Neurospora crassa OR74A: one gene and its partner. The protein of the gene in region 1 interacts with the protein of each later gene in a biochemical or structural test. Links are inferred from orthologs where the notes say so. Each region holds a gene or a part of one and is shown on either strand. Other genes may lie near its edges.

The links. The genes of interacting proteins can lie anywhere in the genome.
Region 2: of the proteins of cdc28 (region 1) and bni1, one has a biochemical effect on the other in vitro, tested with the Saccharomyces cerevisiae proteins (3 studies listed by BioGRID). The link is inferred for Neurospora crassa OR74A from reciprocal best matches to the Saccharomyces cerevisiae genes CDC28 and BNI1.

The regions. Positions count from the first base shown.
Region 1 is NC_026506.1:1,088,741-1,092,762, reverse strand, and holds cdc28 (cell division control protein 2), read left to right. Parts: upstream 1-1,222; 5' UTR 1,223-1,939; coding exon 1,940-1,976; intron 1,977-2,060; coding exon 2,061-2,745; intron 2,746-2,827; coding exon 2,828-3,092; 3' UTR 3,093-3,678; downstream 3,679-4,022. Other genes in the region: NCU09779 (oxidoreductase), read right to left, coding at 1-203, 263-539. UniProt on the Saccharomyces cerevisiae protein: Cyclin-dependent kinase that acts as a master regulator of the mitotic and meiotic cell cycles. Required to drive the G1-S transition. More than 200 substrates have been identified. Substrate specificity is in part regulated by the bound cyclin protein.
Region 2 is NC_026505.1:4,767,760-4,771,751, forward strand, and holds the start of bni1 (cytokinesis protein sepA), read left to right. Parts: upstream 1-1,192; 5' UTR 1,193-1,739; intron 1,740-2,157; 5' UTR 2,158-2,535; coding exon 2,536-3,992. UniProt on the Saccharomyces cerevisiae protein: Required for the assembly of F-actin structures, such as actin cables and stress fibers. Nucleates actin filaments. Binds to the barbed end of the actin filament and acts as a leaky capper, slowing both polymerization and depolymerization.

The DNA of each region.
Region 1 (4,022 bases):
CTCAAAACACGTCTCGGAATCTGGAGGGTAGGAGAAGAAGGATTCCTGAAGGCCTGTTTCGGGATCCACGGGCGGGTAGGGGAGCTTGAAATGGAGATGCATGTTGGTCTGGTGATGGGGTTGGTTGAGATCGCGGTGAATGATGTTGCGCAGTAGCGTCTTTTGGACCTCGGGGGGAATGAGGTTTGGGAGAATCAAGAGACCTTTTGGGGTTGGTCAGCAATGATTCGTGAGGAAGAGGGGTCCAGGATCTTGAGTTCACCAGGCAAGAGAGGATGGTAATAGATGGGGGCGTCCTTGTCTGTGCGGAACTCTGGTGAGTCTTCGGGGCAGATATAGCTGAAGGACCTGTTCAAAGTCTCGGTAGGAATGGAGCCAGCGAGCACAAACTCGGGGGCTTTTTCGGGACTGCGCAAGTCATCGATCTCGGGGCTGTTCATGACGATTTTCTGGTCGACTTTGGCGAACGACTTCCACTTGAGCCGCAGCTCATCCGACGGCTGCTCGTGCGCATCCAGGTCATGGTGTCCACCCATCATCTTGAAAGTCGGGTAGTTCTTTTGAGCGAGATATCCAAAAAGAGAACAGAAAAGTGACCGAAGAAATGGATATGAGTATACAAGTTGACTCCTTCCGAGTCCTCGTGTGACGTTGCGGATTTGGAGTAGGGAAGTATCGTGAGATGAAATTGTGGGGACTCGAGTGAAGCTTCAGACGGGACGGATGGTCGAGATGGATTGATGTGTGGGCGTCGAGCTGAGGCTGGGCTGGGCGTCTGAATGGCTGGAGCTTCTGAATGGCGCCACAAGTCAGGGGTAGTCAACAGTTAGAGATCGTGGCTACCTAGAAGGTACCTACGTATTCTGCCCCATCTTGGTGGGCTGTCGGGTACAGTCAATGCTCCAAGTAGTAGTACTTACTAGAACTAGGTAGAGGTGGTACATATGTACCTAGATTGCTTGAAAGTTTACCTACCTACCTTGAACTCGGAGTACCTACCGACGAGGAAAGCGGGCATTTTTTGGACGCGTTCATTCCTCCCTTGCAGTCCGTCCCTCCAGTGAGTGGTTTCCATGGTGCCGTCGCGGTCCGCGCTTTTTGTGTTGACACGGATTTCCGTTGCAAGCGCCAAGTCTAAGACGTAATCGTCCCGTCTCCAACCACCTGCACTCGGATGCCCGTCTGGAATAAAACCTACCTACTGCACTACAGTACAGCGGACCACCCCCCTGGACTGCCCTCTAAATCCGACACTCGAACGACAACCACAACTTCACAACCTCAACTTCCACTTGCACGTCCACCGCCTCTCCTTCCTTGGATTTCTGTCCCTTCACCATCACGGTCCCTTAGTATCAAGAAGTTGCAGGAACAACGGACGACAATTACATCGCTCGCTGCATCATATTGCCTTTTCATCAGCGGCCTTTCGCATTCAGCCCTCCGCCCAGGACGACCCGTCGACCATTCACGGCACCATCATCACCACCAAAAGTCAACACCAAAACAAAGTATTTACGGTAGCTAGTACTGTAGCCTTTTGACGGCAACGACGGACGATTCCACCTTTTTTCGTTTTTGTTTACCAATCCGCCACTGCGCTCCCTTTGGACACCACCTATCCTTGGCTGGACCTTGACTCTCCAAGGATCAATCAATCTCAAGAAGGCGACCCTTCGACGGCCGTCACTTTCTCCATCCGCCGCCGCCGCCGCCGCCGCCCCACGCTTCGTTCTGGGCTTTTCCATCAATCACTGTGCTTCAGCGCGCTAGGTACAACATCGTTCGTCGTAATCGTCCCCCACCACGACGACCACGAACACCAGGCACCAACCCCAACTAGTAGTTCTACGACTCCGGGCAAAGTCAATTCTTTCCCTCCAGGGACTTTCAAACCACCCATCTCAGTATAGCGGCCTGGACGGGTAACAGAGCAACCATGGAGAACTATCAGAAGCTGGAAAAGATTGGCGAGGGTACAACACCCCCTTCTTCTTCGACCCCTCCACCTTGGCTCTCTTCCTTCCATGTCCCGTACTGACATTCCACCTTCCGCATAGGAACGTATGGTGTCGTCTACAAGGCCCGCGACTTGGCTAACAGCGGGCGCATTGTCGCCCTCAAGAAGATCCGCCTCGAAGCCGAAGATGAGGGCGTCCCCTCTACCGCCATCCGTGAGATCTCGCTGCTCAAGGAGATGCGCGACCCCAACATTGTGCGTCTCCTCAACATTGTCCACGCCGACGGCGGTCAAGGCCATAAGCTGTATCTTGTCTTCGAATTCCTCGATCTTGATCTGAAGAAGTACATGGAGGCCCTTCCTGTCAGCGACGGTGGTAGGGGCAAGGCCCTCCCCGAAGGAACGGGCGCCGGACTGCACAATTTGGGACTGGGCGAGGATATCATCAAGAAGTTCATGAGCCAGCTTTGCGAGGGCGTCCGATACTGCCACAGCCACCGTGTCCTACACCGCGATCTCAAGCCCCAGAACCTGCTCATCGACCGCGACGGCAACTTGAAGCTAGCAGATTTCGGTCTCGCCCGCGCCTTTGGTGTTCCACTCCGTACTTATACCCACGAGGTCGTCACATTGTGGTACCGTGCGCCCGAAATCCTGCTGGGTGGTCGTCAGTACTCGACCGGTGTCGATATGTGGTCCGTTGGTTGCATCTTTGCCGAAATGTGCACACGCAAGCCCTTGTTCCCTGGTGATTCGGAAATTGACGAGATCTTCAAGATCTTCCGGTACGTTTATGCAGTTACCTTTTCTTGGCACCTTTCTGCTTCTCCCCTAGTCCGCTATACTGACCTCTTTTCCTCCAAACAGTCTGCTTGGAACCCCTACTGAGGACATCTGGCCCGGCGTCACCTCCTATCCCGACTTCAAGGCATCTTTCCCCAAGTGGGTACGCGACTACAACGTACCACTTTGCCAAAACCTCGACGATGTCGGTCTTGAGCTACTTGAATCCATGCTTGTCTACGACCCTGCTGGCCGAATCTCTGCCAAGGCAGCGTGCAATCACCCTTACTTTGAAGACTACAACCCCAAGCCAAAGAGCAAATACCGCGACAGCAGCAGATACGCCTAGGGACGTTCGCCAAGGTCGAAGCAGGAGCGTTAGGCAATAGCAGATCGACTATCCAAGTTTTGCAGCCGGCTGCTTAGGTTCGGTTGGATCTCGGTGACTTCAAAGTGGGCAGTTCGTGGCAAGGGTACAGTCTTTGTGATTCTACCAGTAGCGAGTGAGGTCGACACACCGAAACGGTGACAGAAACAAACTGTCATTATCACACCTGAAGCATATCATAGCATCCCACTTTGCTTTCAGGATACTCGGAAACATGATATTCGACACATCAAATTCCCCATACCTACATTTTGTTGTATGTAGGGTTGTGTTTTTAGGGAACAGCGTTCAAAGGGGTCATGGGTAAAGGAAGTACATTGGAATGGAGTTCTGTATTACACGATTCGGTGTTATCTGGAAGAGCAAATGGCATTCAAGGGATGGGGCTTTCTGTTAGCCCTGGTGCATATTAGGGAGTTGTGGTGTGAAGTGTACTGTACACAGGCAGGGAAAAGGCGCAAGACATTGTTCCAATAAATCTCGCATGTACATACTTTCCCCTGTCCAAACACAGGTCCTTCGTTTGGAGATGCGAAGTGATGTCGGCTGTTCCTTCATCTTTGATGTGCTCCATTTCTTTCTCCCTGCTCGGATTTATGTTGCCATTGATCGATTTCTCATGTTGCCTTCTTGGCTGTCTTTCTTTCCGACAAGCGCTCACACCACCGCATTACATGTCCCCCAACATTGTAGGCATTCGCTTTTATCAGACTGAGCAAATGGTACCTCAGCACATGGGACTGCAGACATCGTCATGCTGACAGCGCTAATGAAGAATGCTTTCAGAAAAGCCTAGCTCACTCAAGCCTGTACCAAGCGGTTGGCTCCCAACATTTCAGCTATCAAAAGAGCATCACGTCAGTGGATTGGGAACCACTCAACAAGACAGAT
Region 2 (3,992 bases), on another chromosome or scaffold:
TAACATATACAAATGCGGCACGTAATCGCGTGCGGAAAGGTGTACCTGCGCTAACTGCGCGCGCAGTACATACTGTAGCCACCTGGGCTTGACAGCCCAGACGTTGTGGAACAGTGCACTGTAGAGTTCCTGGACTGGGCTCACCCGGCCCTTCCATGTATCGGGTCTCTGTGGCATGGCCCGACTGAGCGAGGCCCGGGCCCAAAATAGCAACGGAACGACACCCTCAAGGTTGATGAGATGCAGAAACCTAACAAACTGCCCTGATGATCCAGGGGTATCGACGGCCTCATGTAGGGATCTCAGAGGATGTCTTTCCAACCAACAACATCTGTTCCTATACAGTTTTGGACCTCCACAAGTGTGTTTCTCGCTCATACCTCTAGCTTGAGGACTTTTATTCTTTTGTCTTCAGATCATCTTGACCTCTTTTGGTTGGGATAGTGAGACGCAGGGATGATGATACTCGGATAGAACGGTGATGATTGGGCAAGGGATCATGAGCCAATCTTAATACCAGTTCGATGTGATTCCATCATATCAATCTGCCCCCACCAGGGGCAGTTTGGGAAGGTGGAGGATTAAGCCAAGTCATAGTTCCAGCCGCTATGCCTACTTATGCTATTGTATGGATGTACGCAGTACATAGTAATGTGGACATATATGGCGCCGCTGAATGTGCCACCAATGCATACGAAGATGACCTTTATCACCATTATGCGTATTGTTTCAGGTTGACCAGCGGCCTTTTCAGTGCTCAGTTGACAAGTTTCTATCATTGAGTTTCTTTCATCCTATTCTGTGCCGATTTGTGGTTCCATCACTTATATGAACCATCGGTTAGGTTCAGATGATGGATGTTTCGGATGGTGGATGGGAAAAAGAAAGAACGGAAGAAACCCGGACAGTCCCTGCGTCTTGACCACTAACAAATTCCCCGCCTGTGATTCAAGACATCAGGGGTGATGATGTGCCCAGCTAAGCCGCTTTCAGCGCATCGAGACCCCCTTTGCCGTGATGTTGAGGTCTCCCACCAGAAGGTGCAGCTGTTAAGAGAGTGCACGGTGCACCCTCCCGCGCCATGCTGGAGTTGCCCCTGCGATTGCCGAGCGTTGTTAGGTTCGCGTTCACACGGCAAGGAACCCCAACCTCACTCTCTCTCAAGTGATCTCTCATTCGGCTCATTCAACCACTTCACCTCAGTCCAGTCTCGCTGCAACTTCTGAATGGTCATCTGCCTCTGCCTCTCCTTTTCCCGAGCTTGTCTCTATAGCTGATAATTCGCGGGTGAGCCAGCCACCACCGGACAACGCTCCACCCGTCGTCGTTGCCATTGCTCCTTTTCTTTCCCAATCATCGCTCATAGAAGACCACCATTCATTTGCCGCCCGATCTCAAATCAACCTTCAATTTCGTCCGAGTGGGTAACTAAGCCCGTCCAAGACAGGCCCTCCAGTGCCCCACGCGCGCGCGCGCTTCCACCCCAAAGTTAGGTACCGCCAACGACCTGGGCCAAATCCACCAGACCCCTCGAACGGGAGAGTCCGTCCCTGACGAGCCCTGACGGTTTGACCAACGAACGGCATTTTGTTCTTCTCCTAGTTCAGCCTCGGCGTAGCTGTCTAAGTACTCTGGCACTTTTGGTAGTGAGCGAGCTGAGCGTCGCATACCTACCTACTCATCACCCCTCCTTGCCGTCAGCCAGGTCGCCAGTATACTGCCTCTACACTACACACTAGGTAGGTAACTACAGTACTCTATCTATACTTCCAACACGAGATCCAGAAGTCGAAGTCGACGACATCCTACACTACTACCTAGGTATTTCCAGGTTTCGCCGGCTACGCTACACGGACAGACGCGGGTACGGATATTTGCGCCCGCTCGTACATTTGCGACTTGACCCCTTTGACTTTCACTTGAGTTCCATTCCCTTCGAAGATCTGGATTGTATTGCCAACACGGTCTCGATGCAGTCTAGTTTGGGTCAGCACACATCCATACACATCTCGCCCGAGTGCGCTCATCCCACCAGCTAGCAGTGCTAGCAGCTAGCCTATCTCGAGGCCCGCCTCTGCGCAAAAGCTTGCCCGGGCACGGCTACCCTCCGAACTCCTCAACTTGACCTCATGCTAAAAACACCAATGGTTCATGCAGCAGGAAGGCCATGCTCACCAACCGTTATTGCCCGCAAAGAACATGATGCGATCCACCCAGGGCCTCAGACACCGAGTCCATTGACGGCATTTGCTCCGTATCCATTTCAACGCACTCATTTACCAATTGACCCACCCGCGCATTGATTGCCTATACAACTACCCACTCCGCGCCTCGAGACGAGACCCGACCCGGCCCGGCCCCTCGACACCCCTCGACGCCCCTCTACAGCGATCCAGATACCCACGATACCCGCTCGCCTATTGCTGAGGAACCACCCCCGAACAACACGTAGGCAGCTTGCGCTGCTGGGACTGTACTCTGGTGTACTGCCCTGCCGGTAGCGAAGCGGCCGCTTCACACATCCCGTCCCGCGCCATGTCCTCCCACGACAAGAATGGGAGGGCTACCTCCTCGAGCGGCAAGGCCTCCTCCTTCTTCTCGAGAGCCACTGGCAAGAACAAGGCCGACAAACGGAACGCAAGCGATGAGGGTGGCCGATACCTTGCCGCCGACAACGACGCCGCCAGCACCCATACCGCACGCAGTTCGCGCCATTACCGGGACTCGTCTGTAATATCGCTGGACCGTCCCGACACGCCCGAATCTGGCCTCAACATGACGGCAGGGGTCGTCACGACGATCCCCTATGACCCTGTTTCCCCCGACAATCGCTCCCCCGTCGCCCTCGACCACCTTCCCAGGCCCGACCAAATGCCCCTAAGGCGAGAGCTAGTACCGCACCACCTCAACAAAGGCACTGGTGACTTCCACCAGTATCCCACCATCGACCAAAGCCCAAGCTCCCCCTATAATGGGCAGTCACCCAGCGCATCAAGTTCGCGCTCAACTCTCGCTACTGCTAACATCACCATGGCCTCCACGGGCCGCCAGGCCCAGTTTCAGCAATGGGGACCACCGAGAGAGAGCAGTTTGCCCGGGTACAATTCCAGAGGCCACTCGTACATGACAACCCGCAGTTCGGGCGACAATGCCAGCATCTACTCAGGTAGGGACGGACACTACCAAGAAGCCCCAGGAACCAGCCATCGCTCATCCAGGATAGGACTCCCTAGTACTTCGTCTCAGTCATCCTACCTTTCTCCCCATGCCCATAAGGACAGAGATACCCAGCGGTTAACCAAGGTCGCTGCCGGCCACCAGGGCTCCGAAGGATTCAACTTTCCCAAGCCAGACGATGACAATGTGATTGAACAGATGTTCATAAACCTGATGCAAAAGCGAGGATGGCACAACCTCCCGGACCAGGCCAAGCGCCAGATGATCGCATACCCCGCCGCGAAGAAATGGACCTTGATTTACCAGGATCGACTCACCGAGTGGCAGGGCGAACAGAAGCGCAGACAGACGGCCAAGATTGGCCAATACAGCAATGTCGATATTACCCAATCCTCCGATGACGAAGGCAGCCCCGAGTGGTATGTGCGCAAGGTCATGGAAAACGCTCTGGACAGCAAAGGGCTCGGAGGACTCGAAGTCAACCTTCGGACACAGCAGATCGGCTGGGTCAAGCGCTTCATCGACTGTCAGGGACAGATCGCCTTGACCAATGTCCTGCTAAAGATGAACCGAAAGACTGCCTATGGACCTGCTCAGCCGGATAATGGAAGATTGGATAAGAATTTGGACCGAGAATATGACATTGTCAAATGTTTGAAGGCTCTTATGAACAACAAGTTTGGCGCAGACGATGCGCTAGCTCACCAACAGGTTATTGTGGCTCTGGCCACCTCCCTTATATCACCTCGGCTCACCACCCGGAAGCTTGTCAGCGAAGTCCTGACATTCCTCTGCCATTGGGGCGAAGGCAAGGG